3 linked regions of the Caenorhabditis elegans genome follow. The protein of the gene in region 3 purifies or fractionates together with the protein of the main gene of each other region. This does not show direct contact. Each region holds a gene or a part of one and is shown on either strand. Other genes may lie near its edges.

Region 1 (5,216 bases), on a different chromosome or scaffold from region 3:
TTTTCTTGAATATGCTAATTTAAATTGTTTTTTTTTTAAATATTCTACTTCATCATTTTTCATCTCAAAAAAAAATTGAAATTTCCTATAGCATTCATAATTTGCCTAAATTATTTATAGGAACTCATTCCAAATCCCACCACCTGTACCCCCACAAACTGTTTTGGCAGATTAAGTGTGGAATAACGTAAGGAAACAAATGAGGTGCCGAAATGTAGTCGCCTATGATCTGATATGCACACCAAAAAAAAGAAGTGCCTTCACTTCATCCTCAATTATGCAATCAAAAATCTGTCGTTTGTTTGGTCTCAAGGTCGATGGTCCTCTTCGTCGGAAACCTTTTGAAGTGAGACGAGACCTGTTGTCCAATTATTTGTCGATCATCAACTGTTTTTTTTTATTGTTTCGCCAACACTTCCGAGACTGGTTTATCCCCTGATATTCGACCATAAAATACATGCGGGAAATATATATATATATATATATATATATATATATATATATATATATATATATATATATATATATGATGTACTTCATTATTTCGAATCAAAATTACAAATATTCATAATAAGAAATGTGCGATAAAGAGTTCTACAATCCATTTTGTTTTCTAATTCACAAGTTGAGCCAAAAGTCTAGTGAAGTCTGATCCCAACTTTTGGAACTTTGGAGGTGTCAATGTCGTCGTGTGGGAAGAATGGATGCTTGACAGCGCTGAAAAATTATACAATGATAATTTGCATAGCTTTGTGTACTACACGAGGAAAAGTGTGATTTAATTTGTTTATAGGATTGTATAATTTTGAGCTGGAATTCTTGAGTTTGGACCATCGAATTTTTGCCAATTTTGGAAATTTCGGCAGTTGGCAAAATTGTCAATTGCCGAAAATTTCCAAAACTGGCAATTGCCAAAATTGCCAGTTGCCGGAAATCAGAATTGCCGGAAATATAATTTTAGCCTAAACATGCATTTTAAGGAACAATTTTCCTTTTTCAAGCTCAAAATGATTGAATCCTTGATGGATTTAACGCTTTCTTTCAGAAAATGACTAACTGAATACTAAAAACCAATTTGCAATTTTTTCAATTTCCGAAATATAGTTAGGTTTGAAAATCGCCGAAAATGTCCGGCAATCGACAATTTCTGCAATTTCGGCAATCGCCGGAATCGCCGATTGCCGGAATTTTTCAAAACCGGCAATTGATGAAATTGCCAATTGCAGCGCACTCTTGGTTTGGACTACTGAAGATTTACCGGCCCACTGACGGGAAAATATCCTGAAGTGAGCGAGTGGAGGGGAAATAATTTCGACAAAAATATAAAAGTTTCAAACTTGAAATGGTTTTTTTTAATTTTAAAACATTCGTTCCATAGATAAAAAACCTACAAATCAGCGATGAAAAGTCTAGTTCTGGTCTCGATACTGTTCAAAGTGTGCATATCCTCATCGCTCAGCTTAAAATCAAACGTCGAGATATTCTCAACAATTCTGTCCGGACTGACACTCTTCGGAATCGTCGAAATACCGTGTTGAGTCAGGTGGCGAATGAGAATCTGTGCAGCAGTTTTGTGATACTTGGCAGCCAGTTGTTTGACGATTGGCTCGAGAAGTGGGTCACCTTCCGGCCAGACACCGTCCGGACGAGCAGCTTTTCTGCCTGGTGAGCCAAGTGGTGCGTATGCTGTAACAGTGACTCCGAGTTTTTTGCACAGAGCACGGAGCTCTTGTTGTGGCCAATAGATGTGACACTCGACTTGTTGGTTGGCTGGCTTCACTTCGGCGGCGTCATAGAGCGCTTGAAGCTGGTTGCAACTGAAGTTGGATACTCCAAGGGCCTGAAAATTATATTTTTGGAGAAAGAACACTACGTGTAACTTGAACATGGATAGTTAACAAAATATTGGCAACTAATTTTTCTACATTCTGCTGAAATTTTATAAGTATATGTATTCCAAAAAACGTTACAGCAGCTGACACCCGGTGGGTCTAATTTTGACTACATTTTTTGAATAAACCACTGGAAATTTTCAAGAAAAAATTTAATAAGAACATTTTTAATACAAACTTTTCATCACATGGACGGCAAACGATTTTTCGGGCAAACTGCCTGTTTAAAAATTTCCGCCAAATCGGCAAACTGACAAATTGCTTACCGAATTTGCCGGAAAAAAGGCCAATAATTTTCGAAAAATTGTGGTTTTGCACTTTTTTTTTTGGAAATTTCAGAATTTCAATTTTAATCGGCAAAATTGTACGCATCCTATGAATGTTTCTACATCTGTTTTGAAAAATAAGCAAATCCTTTGAAAATGTTTAATGAAAACGGGAAAAAATTTCAAAAAGACACAGTGTTAAGTGCTTCCGTCTTATAAAAAATTCCCTCTAAACACTTCCGGCAAATTTATATAATGGCGAACGGCGAATCAGCGAATTGCCGAAAATGAAAACTTCCGGCAAACCGTCAAACCGGCAATTTGCCGTTTTGCCGAACTTGTCGACAAAAAAATTTGCCGAATGGCATTGCCGCCCACCCCTGATTCAATTACTTTATGGAAATCGAAATTGCTGATGTTCCTTCAAGACCAAATCTCACAAACCTTAAGCTTTCCCTCCTTGTACAACTTCTCCAACGCTCTCCATGTATCAATATGAGCGATTTCTGTAACAGCAAGCTCTCCATTCTCCATCAATGGAGCAAAGCTTCCCTCCTGATGTTTGAATGGGAATGGGCAATGGATCAAATACAGGTCAATATACTCAAGTTGAAGCGCCTTCAATTGGCTTTCCACACATTTTGGAACATCTTCCGGGGCGTGAGCGGTAAATGGAAGTTTAGAGGTGACGAAGATGTCCTCGCGTTTCAGTTTTCCAGATGAGATGTACTCATGGAGCACTTTTCCAATAATGTGCTCGTTTTGGTAGAGGTGAGCAGTGTCTGAATATTGAAAAAATGGGATTTTCAGTTGTCAAAACGTTGTCAAAACTGCCCTCCAAGGATCAACTTTGCCAATGGTTTTATTCGAAAACTCGAAAAACTGGACACCGTAAAAAATCTCAACATTTGTGTCAAAAAGTAGAAAAATACCTAGAATTTGAATGGGAAAATCTGAAGTTAAAGGTGTGAGTAAAGTTTGTCGGTTTTTTGAAAATGGGTCGTAGTTACCGAATGTAAAAAATGTTGGAAAAAAATTTCAAAATTTTTAATGTTTTTTTTCAATTGTGCAAAAAATTTAATTAACTGGTTTGAGCAAGCCACCACTTTTTTTTTGAGTTTTCCGTTTTTGGCCAAAAATAACATTTTTTAAATCGGTTTTTATTTTCCAATTATTTTTTTGTGACATCTCAAATGGAAGAAGAAAAGAAAACATGACTAAAAAAAAATTATGGTTTCCATCTAGGACAGCACTCACCAATAAGTCTGTATCCAGCATCAAGAGCTGCACGAAGAGCCACAGTCAGCTCAGCTTCATCCTTCACCTGCCACGTTCCCAATCCGAAAAGTGGAAGCTGAGCTCCGGTATTCAATGGAATAGAGTCTACGGTCATTCTGCAAATACTCAAAATGAATATGACCGAAAAGCAGAAAACTGATAAATGTAAAAGGAGAAGCTACGTTTAAACCAATAGATGACAAAATGATAAACAAAATAAATGATAAGAGGTATTTTGTGACCATCGGCAAGAAATAGAGACGAGAGATGAACAAACGGTTTTCGCTCAGTCACAAAAAATGAATGCCGGAAAAATAGAAAAAAGATGAAAAGACCGTAACGGAAAATGTTCAATGATGCGGAGGCCAATTTTCACTTTTTTTTCATGCAAATTCCAAAAACATGACAATTGTTTTTGTTTGTGGCAATGTGAGAACTGAGACTATTGACAGAAATTTGAAATACATGCAGATAGATGTTCATGTGATGAAACAGTAGTAGGAAGTGGACGACGTTGAAATGAAGGACGCCTAGATAAGAGGGGAAAAGTGTTGTCAGATGACCGAAAAGTGGGTGAGTTCGAAAATCATTATTTGATCGTTTGAAGTAATGAAAAAACAACAAAAGACACAAATTAAAAATTTTTAAAAGGTGAAGTAGCGTAATATCGTGCCAAAATTAGGAAATATCATAGTAAAAATTTTCAAAAATTGTTTTAAAAAGTTATATTTACAGTCAAAAAAAAAAAAATAGAAATGCCGGAAAGGCCTTCTGAAAATAAAAAGTTTATTGTTGAAAAATCTAAAAGAAACTTTAAATAGGGCCTTAAAATTGTTGTTTTGTGCAAAAATTACTTTGAATTTTTCACAGCAAACTGAAATTTTCAACGACCGTTTGAGGTATTTTTTAAACTTTCAAATAAAAATGAATAAAAATTTCAGATTGAACAAACAATTTTCTACATTTTTTTTAAATATTTGATTTGAAAAAGTTATACTTTCGTACTGAAATGAACAGTTCTGTACGTTTGCCAATTCTTTGAAAAACCGATTTTTTATAGAGTGCAATTTTTATGTGACAGCCTGGTTGTTGAAATCTTAACTATTATCAATTTGCTATACCGTTCAAAAATTATTTTGAAGTGGACGCTGGCTTCTGCAGAAAAGTTGATTTCTCATTGAATATGTAAAATGATATTGAAACCTGAAACGTGCAAAAATTTTGAGATTAAAAAAAACAATCCCATCCAGAACATAAACTGTAAAAATCTGACAAAAAAAATTCCAAAAACCGGTTGCCGAAAATAAAATGGAAAAAATAGAGAAAAATAACATATGTACAGTATAAATTATTAAATTTCCATTGATTAACGGCCAAGCAACTAAAAGTGTCTAACTAGCCTCTACTGAAAATTAAAAATAAAAATTTGAGGTAAGTACACGATTTCTTAAAATTCCTAAACTTGGGTTCAGCATTTTCCAGTTTTTGAAACAAAACTTGATAGCGTGGTTCTTCGATTTCACAGATTACGAATCTACAATATTAAAGAACATTTCGGGATTAATTTTCAATCTATCACGCATATTTGATCTACGAGAGGCTGATCTACCGGGTTCGATAGCTATCTTCCGAAAGCAGATCACTCGAGAAGGGCATAATTCAGTGTGTATTTGAGATGTCAGGTTCCTCGTGCTGCATCTTTTTTGATGTTTTTTGTAATGTTTTTAATGTTCTATGCAATTATGAAAAATTTGGATTTTTAGAAAATTCTAAAACTTTT
Region 2 (3,328 bases), on a different chromosome or scaffold from region 3:
GGTTTTTCAGGTCAAGTTCAGCACAAAAATCTGGCACCCGAATGTCAGCTCGCAGACCGGCGTCATTTGCCTCGATATTCTTAAGGATCAATGGTAATATTGCGATTATTATTTTAAAATCGGAAAATTTAATTTATTTTCAACTTCAGGGCCGCTTCGCTGACTCTTCGCACGGTTCTCCTGTCGATTCAGGCGTTGATGTGCACACCGGAGCCCAAGGATCCTCAAGATGCCGTCGTCGCCAAGCAATACATGGAGAAGCCAGCAGTTTTCAAGGTAGCAGCGTGGAAAATTCAGAAAATTCGCGGAAAAATGGGGAAAATATTGCGAAATCCGATTAAAAAATCAATATGGGTCTGCTAAGTAATTAAGTAATTAGCAGACCCAAATCTTCCCTTATTTTGTGTGTTTTTTTGCGTATTTTGCCCCAAAAATTATCTATAATTTCCCATTTTTCAGGCCAACTCGAGTTTTGAAGCGTCAAAATTGAGAAAATTCGATGGGAAACGTGCAAAATTCGTTAATTCCCGAATTTTGGAGACAATTCTGACTGTTTTACACTGAAATGCACGATTTTCTCGGAAAATTATTGATTTTTGCCCTGAAATTTCAGAATTTGGCCGATTTTCTTTAGAATTTGGGTCTGCCAACTAATTAGCAGGCTTGTAGAAACGCCACGTGGTTTTCGATGGTCTGCTAAATATTTAGCAGACCCAAGTATGGTCTGCTAAATAATTAGCAGACCCAAGTATGGTCTGCTAAATAATTAGCAGACCCAAGTATGGTCTGCTAAATATTTAGCAGACCCTAATCCCGTATTTATCCTTTAAATTTAGTTTTTTTCGCGGAATTTACTGGTTTTTTCTTGTTTTTCAACCAGGAAATCGTTCAAATTCATCACTTTTTGTCCCAGAAGCCGAGAAAAATCAGTTTTTCAGCTCATATCGAAATTTGTTTTTCAAAAAGAAATTATAAAAAAGTTTAGCAGACCCAAAACTCAACAAATTTGGCGAAGTTGTTTTTAGTCTAAAAACTCGAATTTCCCCGAAAATTCGTTGTTTCCAGTGAGTGTAAAAACTCGAGAAATCTCAAAAAAAAAATTGGTTTTCATTCGAATTTTCTCAATTTCCACGCTTGAAAACTTTAGGTAGCCTAGAAAATAGACAAACATAGACAACATAAACTGAATAATAGCCTAATATGCTCTTAATATACTAAATTTCCACCATTTTTCAGGCCACCGCCGAGTACTGGACGACAAAATTCGCAAAGGGAGCCGTGAAAAACGCCGGATACCAGGCTCTCGTCGACAAGCTCAAGGATATGGGAGTCCGTGAGGAAGAGGCTGTCAGCGTGCTCAGCTGCAACAATTGGGACATCAATCGCTCGACGGTCTACATTTTCTCTTAAATTCTTTTTTATTCGATTTTTTTGAATTTTTTCTGTGAGCCTCTTGTCTTGAAGTTTGTGTCCTAAAAATCCCTTATTTCTTCCATTTTTTTCCGAGAAATTTTCGTCCCCAACCCCCCGCACCACTGGTATTTCTTTTTACCAATTCGTACCATCCTCACCCCAAAAAAACCGATCAGAATAGTAGATTTTCCGCCTGATTTGTGTGTGTTTTGCCTATTTATTATCGATATTATTCATTGAAATTTCCCCCCTTTGACCCCCATTTTTTTTGCAACGATACTCTTTCCATGAATTATATTGACGGAGTTGTAGCTGCAATTTTTATCCGATTTTCTGAAAATTTTTGGCGAATGTCGTTTTTAATATCTTTAAAACTCCATTTTTATCTGTAAAATCTATAATTTTAGCACCCAAAAAAATGCCAGCAGAGCCACAAAAATCCACAGAAGCCGGCAGCGTGGCACCGGAGAAGAAGCTGAAAGCGTGCTGCGCGTGTCCTGAAACGAAACGAGTGAGGTTTTGATGGAAAATGGAAAAATGGCGAAAAATTCCAATTTTGCGGTTGAAAATCGCTAAATTTTACATTTCGACTATCCAAAACTGATTTTTCCGAGTTTTTGCATCAAAAATCGAGAATTTCTGGGAAAAAACTCAATTTTGAACATAAATTCGAAAAAAAATGGGTCTGCTAAATATTTAGCAGACCCATTTTTGGTCTGCTAAATATTTAGCATACCCAACTTTGGTCTGCTAATTATTTAGCAGACCCAAGTATGGTCTGCTAAATATTTAGCAGACCCCAGTATGGTCTGCTAAATATTTAGCAGACCCCAGTATGGTCTGCTAAATATTTAGCATACCCAATTTTGGTCTGCTAAACATTTTGCAGACCCAATTTCGAAAAATCTTAATTTTTTCCTCAAAAACGGAATTTTCTTGGTTTTTACAGCAAAAATCGAGAATTTCCGCGATTTTCTGACTAGAAAACCTGAAAAATTCGTGAAATTCGTTGAAAAAACTCAATTTGGAACAGAAATTCGAAAAAAAATGGGTCTGCTAAATATTTAACAGACCCAAAACTACACTAATCCCGTTTTCCTTAGCTAAAAACCCCAGATTTTCACACTTTTTCGTCATTTTCAAATGATTTTCCATTCAAAACAAATGAAATAACCCCAATTTTCAGGTCCGTGACGCTTGCATCATCGAAAACGGCGAGGAGAAGTGCGGAAAACTGATCGAAGCCCATAAAGCCTGCATGCGAGCCGCCGGATTTAATATTTAACTGAAATTTTTAATTTTTTTGCATTTTTGAATGTTTTGTTATAGCTGTAGCTAGTTTTCTTGTTTTTTTTCTTCAAATTTTCATATTTCATAGCTTTAACATGAATTTTTCTGTTTTTTTTTCTTTTAAAATTAGTTTTTCTCACTGAAAACCGTGGTTTTTCCATTAAATGTATATATATATATATTTTGCCACGTGGCTCTATTGTTTATTTTTTATTATTTATCTGTAAACTTTTCCAGATGGATCAAAAAACGGGCCGGCAAAAAATGGAAGAGGCCGAGTACCTCCACGTGGGCCTCAATAGAATATTCGAAATTGCCAAGGAGAAGGTGGAAGTTGTCAGAATTGGGTAAAAAAACGGAATTTGCACTTTAAAATACCCAAAATAATCTGAAAAATCGCTTTTAATGCAGAAAAATGGAAAATTTCGCATTTTTCTGGAAAAAAATGTGAAAAATGTGATTTTTCTCCAAGAAATATTCGAAAAATCACTTTTTTTATGTTTAAAAATGTGATATTTCTTGGTTTTTTTTTCAGTATTTTCGAGTATTTTAACATTTTTATTTTAGAAATGGCTCAAATGACAAGAAACAGCTAGCGAATGACGTCAGAGAGGCACAGAAGGTG
Region 3 (3,149 bases):
GCTCAAAAACTTCGAATCAACACAAAAATAAGAAATTAAATACACAAACCTTTCCAATTCAGCAGATGTCATAGCTCGACTCGTGTCATTTATGCCCAAAAGTTCAAGATTTTTAACTTTTTCCAAAACTTCAAAATCAGCAGTCATCAGAATAACCATTGAAGAATCTCCGAGACTTTTTGATTTATTATAATAAAATGCAGAATAAATGAATATATCATAAGGTGCCGAATGAAATACTTCTTCATTTTCAAGATCTGGTGAATCGATTCGACTGGAAATTTATCGTTTCAATCATTTTTGAACGGTGATAATTTTTAACTATCAATACTTACATAAATTGAAGTAAGACTGCCGTTACAAAAAATAAAAACGAAAAAAGTAATACCACAGACAGAACCGATGGAATTATTCGTGGAAGCATTTTGGCTGATCTGACGCACTTGTTTTGTGTCCTAACGCGTCCCGCAAGTTATCTGAACATCTAATCTCGAACTACCTTCAATGAGTGCGACGGTCAAAATGAGGAGTAACAGTTTTCATTAATTTAGCAATAAAATAATAAGGCAAAAAATTTGAAAATCAAAGACAAAACAAATGAATTGAGTGGGGGAAATGATGGAAGATTTTGAATGTGAAGGAGCTGCTCGTCCGGATTTTTTCAGCTCAGTTTTTCTGGACAGGTAATAGGTCTGAATATAAAACATGATAGTGTGTGATGAATGGGGAAGAAAAAAACAATCAGAAATAAGGGGAGAATTGGCGGTAAACGAGGAAAACCAGAGTAGACATATAAGATGAAGCTGTGGATTGTTAAATTGCAATTGCAAAAACATAGACGATTGCAAGCATTGTTTTGGCTTCCCAACGGTACATGTACGAGGCTGAAAATGAGATTTTTTGAGCTATAAGTTGAATACCAACTTTCAAAATCAGAACTTTGTGAGTAATAAATTTATTTCCCTCTTTATTATTTAATGTTTTAATACAAAATGTTAACTCACAATCCGTGACTTTATTCCAGTAGGAAATCGTGCTAACATTGAGACCGGAACCGCTCGAGATCTGAAGGAACGACGAGGTAACCACATATTTGTATGGTTTTCCCGCTGCCACTAGCTTCTTCGTTATTTGTTCGACGGCCTTCTGATTCCACTGAACACTGTCCTTGTGGGTATACTGGGTGCTTGCGCCTACAACCTCGTCGAGTACCTGAAAGATTATTGGATTACGAGAATGTGAATAAACAATAATCAACTCAAAAATTATAGTTTTTCAAAGAATTAATACAGTAGACATATAAAATATCGGTACCTGCTTGATGATCATGTGAACGTCCTCCTCTGCCAAAGCCATGATGTTGAGCTTGTGAGAGCTGAATATTGAGTTTAATTATTAAAAAAGAGACAGTATAAATAAATCAAGTGCGCTCAAACGGCAATTGAAGTATCAGAAATTAAGATATAAACATCTTTAAATAATTTATTCTCATAAAACGAGAATACATACGACTAGAAAATAAAATCAAAAAACTAATATTAAATTGGAAATACAGATAATGCATGTTATGGTAGGAATGTTATGTCACAATATGTGAGTTTTGAAAATAAATAGTTAAATATATATTTAGGCTTCCGGCTCGAAATCGACATGAGTGAGGCATGCAGATAAATCGCGTCCGAGTTCAGCTGTTCCAGCGCAGAGAACTTTTCTTGACATGACGTCAAATGGGGATCCAGTTGGATCAGTGACAACACCTCCGGCTTCTGTGACAATGATAGAAGGAGCAGCAACATCCCAAGCGTGAATCCCGTATTCAACATATCCATCGCAACTTCCTTGTGCAACCATCACCATGTTGATCGCGGCGGAGCCAAACGAACGGTGTCTGAAAAAAAAACTTGGATTTTTTTCAAATAACTTTTATTATGTATAACAATATTAAAAATAATAATATCACATCATCCTCGTGATTTTTTTCATATTAAACTTTGTCCATCCAACATCTAACTTTTCCATCTTATCCATTTCTCAATTTTAGTAAAACTTTCAAAAAATTTGCAAACGCACAGTTCAAGAAAGTCACTAGATTTCGACAAGAATATAAAAAATATTTATAAGTACCCGTGACATTGTTTGTCGAACATAACAGTCTTGTAAGAATCAACAAATGATTTCTGCATAACAGGAGATCGAATTGAGCCAAGTTGAAGTATGAGCACACTTTCCGCAATGACTGGAATTTGCAACGTTTCTATGTGAATGTAAATAAAATTGAAAGTAAAACGTGCAAAACCAGCGCGGGAAGTGTGGAGGTATATTTTTTGTAAAAAAGTAATCAATTTTAGACCAAAAAATTAAAACAAACCCTCGCACACCAGCCATCACTTGATTTCGCATGTTTGACTGGGCAATGTCGAGCCAGCGATCGCCGAACTGAACACGATTATGCAGACCGAGAGATTGACAGAGAACTCCCTTTGAAAGCACTTCAAAAAGCAGGGTGCATGACAAGAAAAGTGCAATTACTTACATTGATTCTTTGATGCTCGGATTGGAAATCCATTTTTGAAAGCTCCCTTTCCGAGTTGAGCGAGATAAAGTTCATTAGTGATTGGATTGTATACGATTCCAGCACGAATTTGTTTTTTGATTGCAAGTCCAACGCAGATTGCGATCATAGGGATTCTATAATAACATAAGAATTTGTTTTTCGAGAAAAATTTGAGTCCAAATTAGAAATTAAATAACGCGATTTGCCATTATTTGAAGAGTCCGATTTAAAAAAAATCTTACCTATGAACAAAGTTAGTAGTTCCATCAATCGGATCAATAATCCATGTTGGTGCATCAGTCCATTCAATTTTCGCACCTCCGGCTACAGATTCCTCGCCAATGAATCTGAATCAAAATAGTAAATTTATGTAAATACTCGATTGAAAAAGAAAGTCCAACTGGTTGTCATGGAGACAATGAGTGAAATCGAGCGGACCGTGGGAATTCCTTGCTCTTACCTATGTCCTTTGAATCTCTCGGAGAGCCCTTCGATGAGAAGCTTTTCAACAGCTTGGTCAGTTTCAGTCACCAAATCAGTATTCGATGATTTTGTGTCAACCTTGCTTTCCGGGGAGTCAAACGCGGTACGGACG

The links.
Region 1: the proteins of dylt-1 (region 3) and exc-15 fractionate together in Caenorhabditis elegans (co-fractionation; one large-scale study listed by BioGRID). This does not show direct contact.
Region 2: the proteins of dylt-1 (region 3) and cox-17 fractionate together in Caenorhabditis elegans (co-fractionation; one large-scale study listed by BioGRID). This does not show direct contact.

What each region holds. Positions count from the first base shown.
Region 1 is NC_003283.11:4,481,840-4,487,055, reverse strand, and holds exc-15 (NADP-dependent oxidoreductase domain-containing protein), read right to left. Parts: upstream 3,598-5,216; 5' UTR 3,552-3,597; coding exon 3,416-3,551; intron 2,941-3,415; coding exon 2,603-2,940; intron 1,841-2,602; coding exon 1,392-1,840; intron 718-1,391; coding exon 639-717; 3' UTR 513-638; downstream 1-512.
Region 2 is NC_003281.10:189,166-192,493, forward strand, and holds cox-17 (Cytochrome c oxidase copper chaperone), read left to right. Parts: upstream 1-1,820; 5' UTR 1,821-1,831; coding exon 1,832-1,924; intron 1,925-2,599; coding exon 2,600-2,698; 3' UTR 2,699-2,816; downstream 2,817-3,328. Other genes in the region: ubc-20 (UBC core domain-containing protein), read left to right, coding at 11-93, 150-276, 1,237-1,410; sec-20 (Sec20 C-terminal domain-containing protein), read left to right, coding at 2,941-3,050, 3,271-3,328.
Region 3 is NC_003279.8:7,299,539-7,302,687, forward strand, and holds dylt-1 (DYnein Light chain (Tctex type)), read right to left. Parts: upstream 1,376-3,149; 5' UTR 1,357-1,375; coding exon 1,315-1,356; intron 1,213-1,314; coding exon 1,005-1,212; intron 885-1,004; coding exon 814-884; 3' UTR 527-813; downstream 1-526. Other genes in the region: BAH-4 (Glycosyltransferase family 92 protein F13G3.3), read right to left, coding at 50-274, 336-424; Inositol monophosphatase ttx-7, read right to left, coding at 1,627-1,888, 2,369-2,489, 2,534-2,688, 2,797-2,901, 3,015-3,149.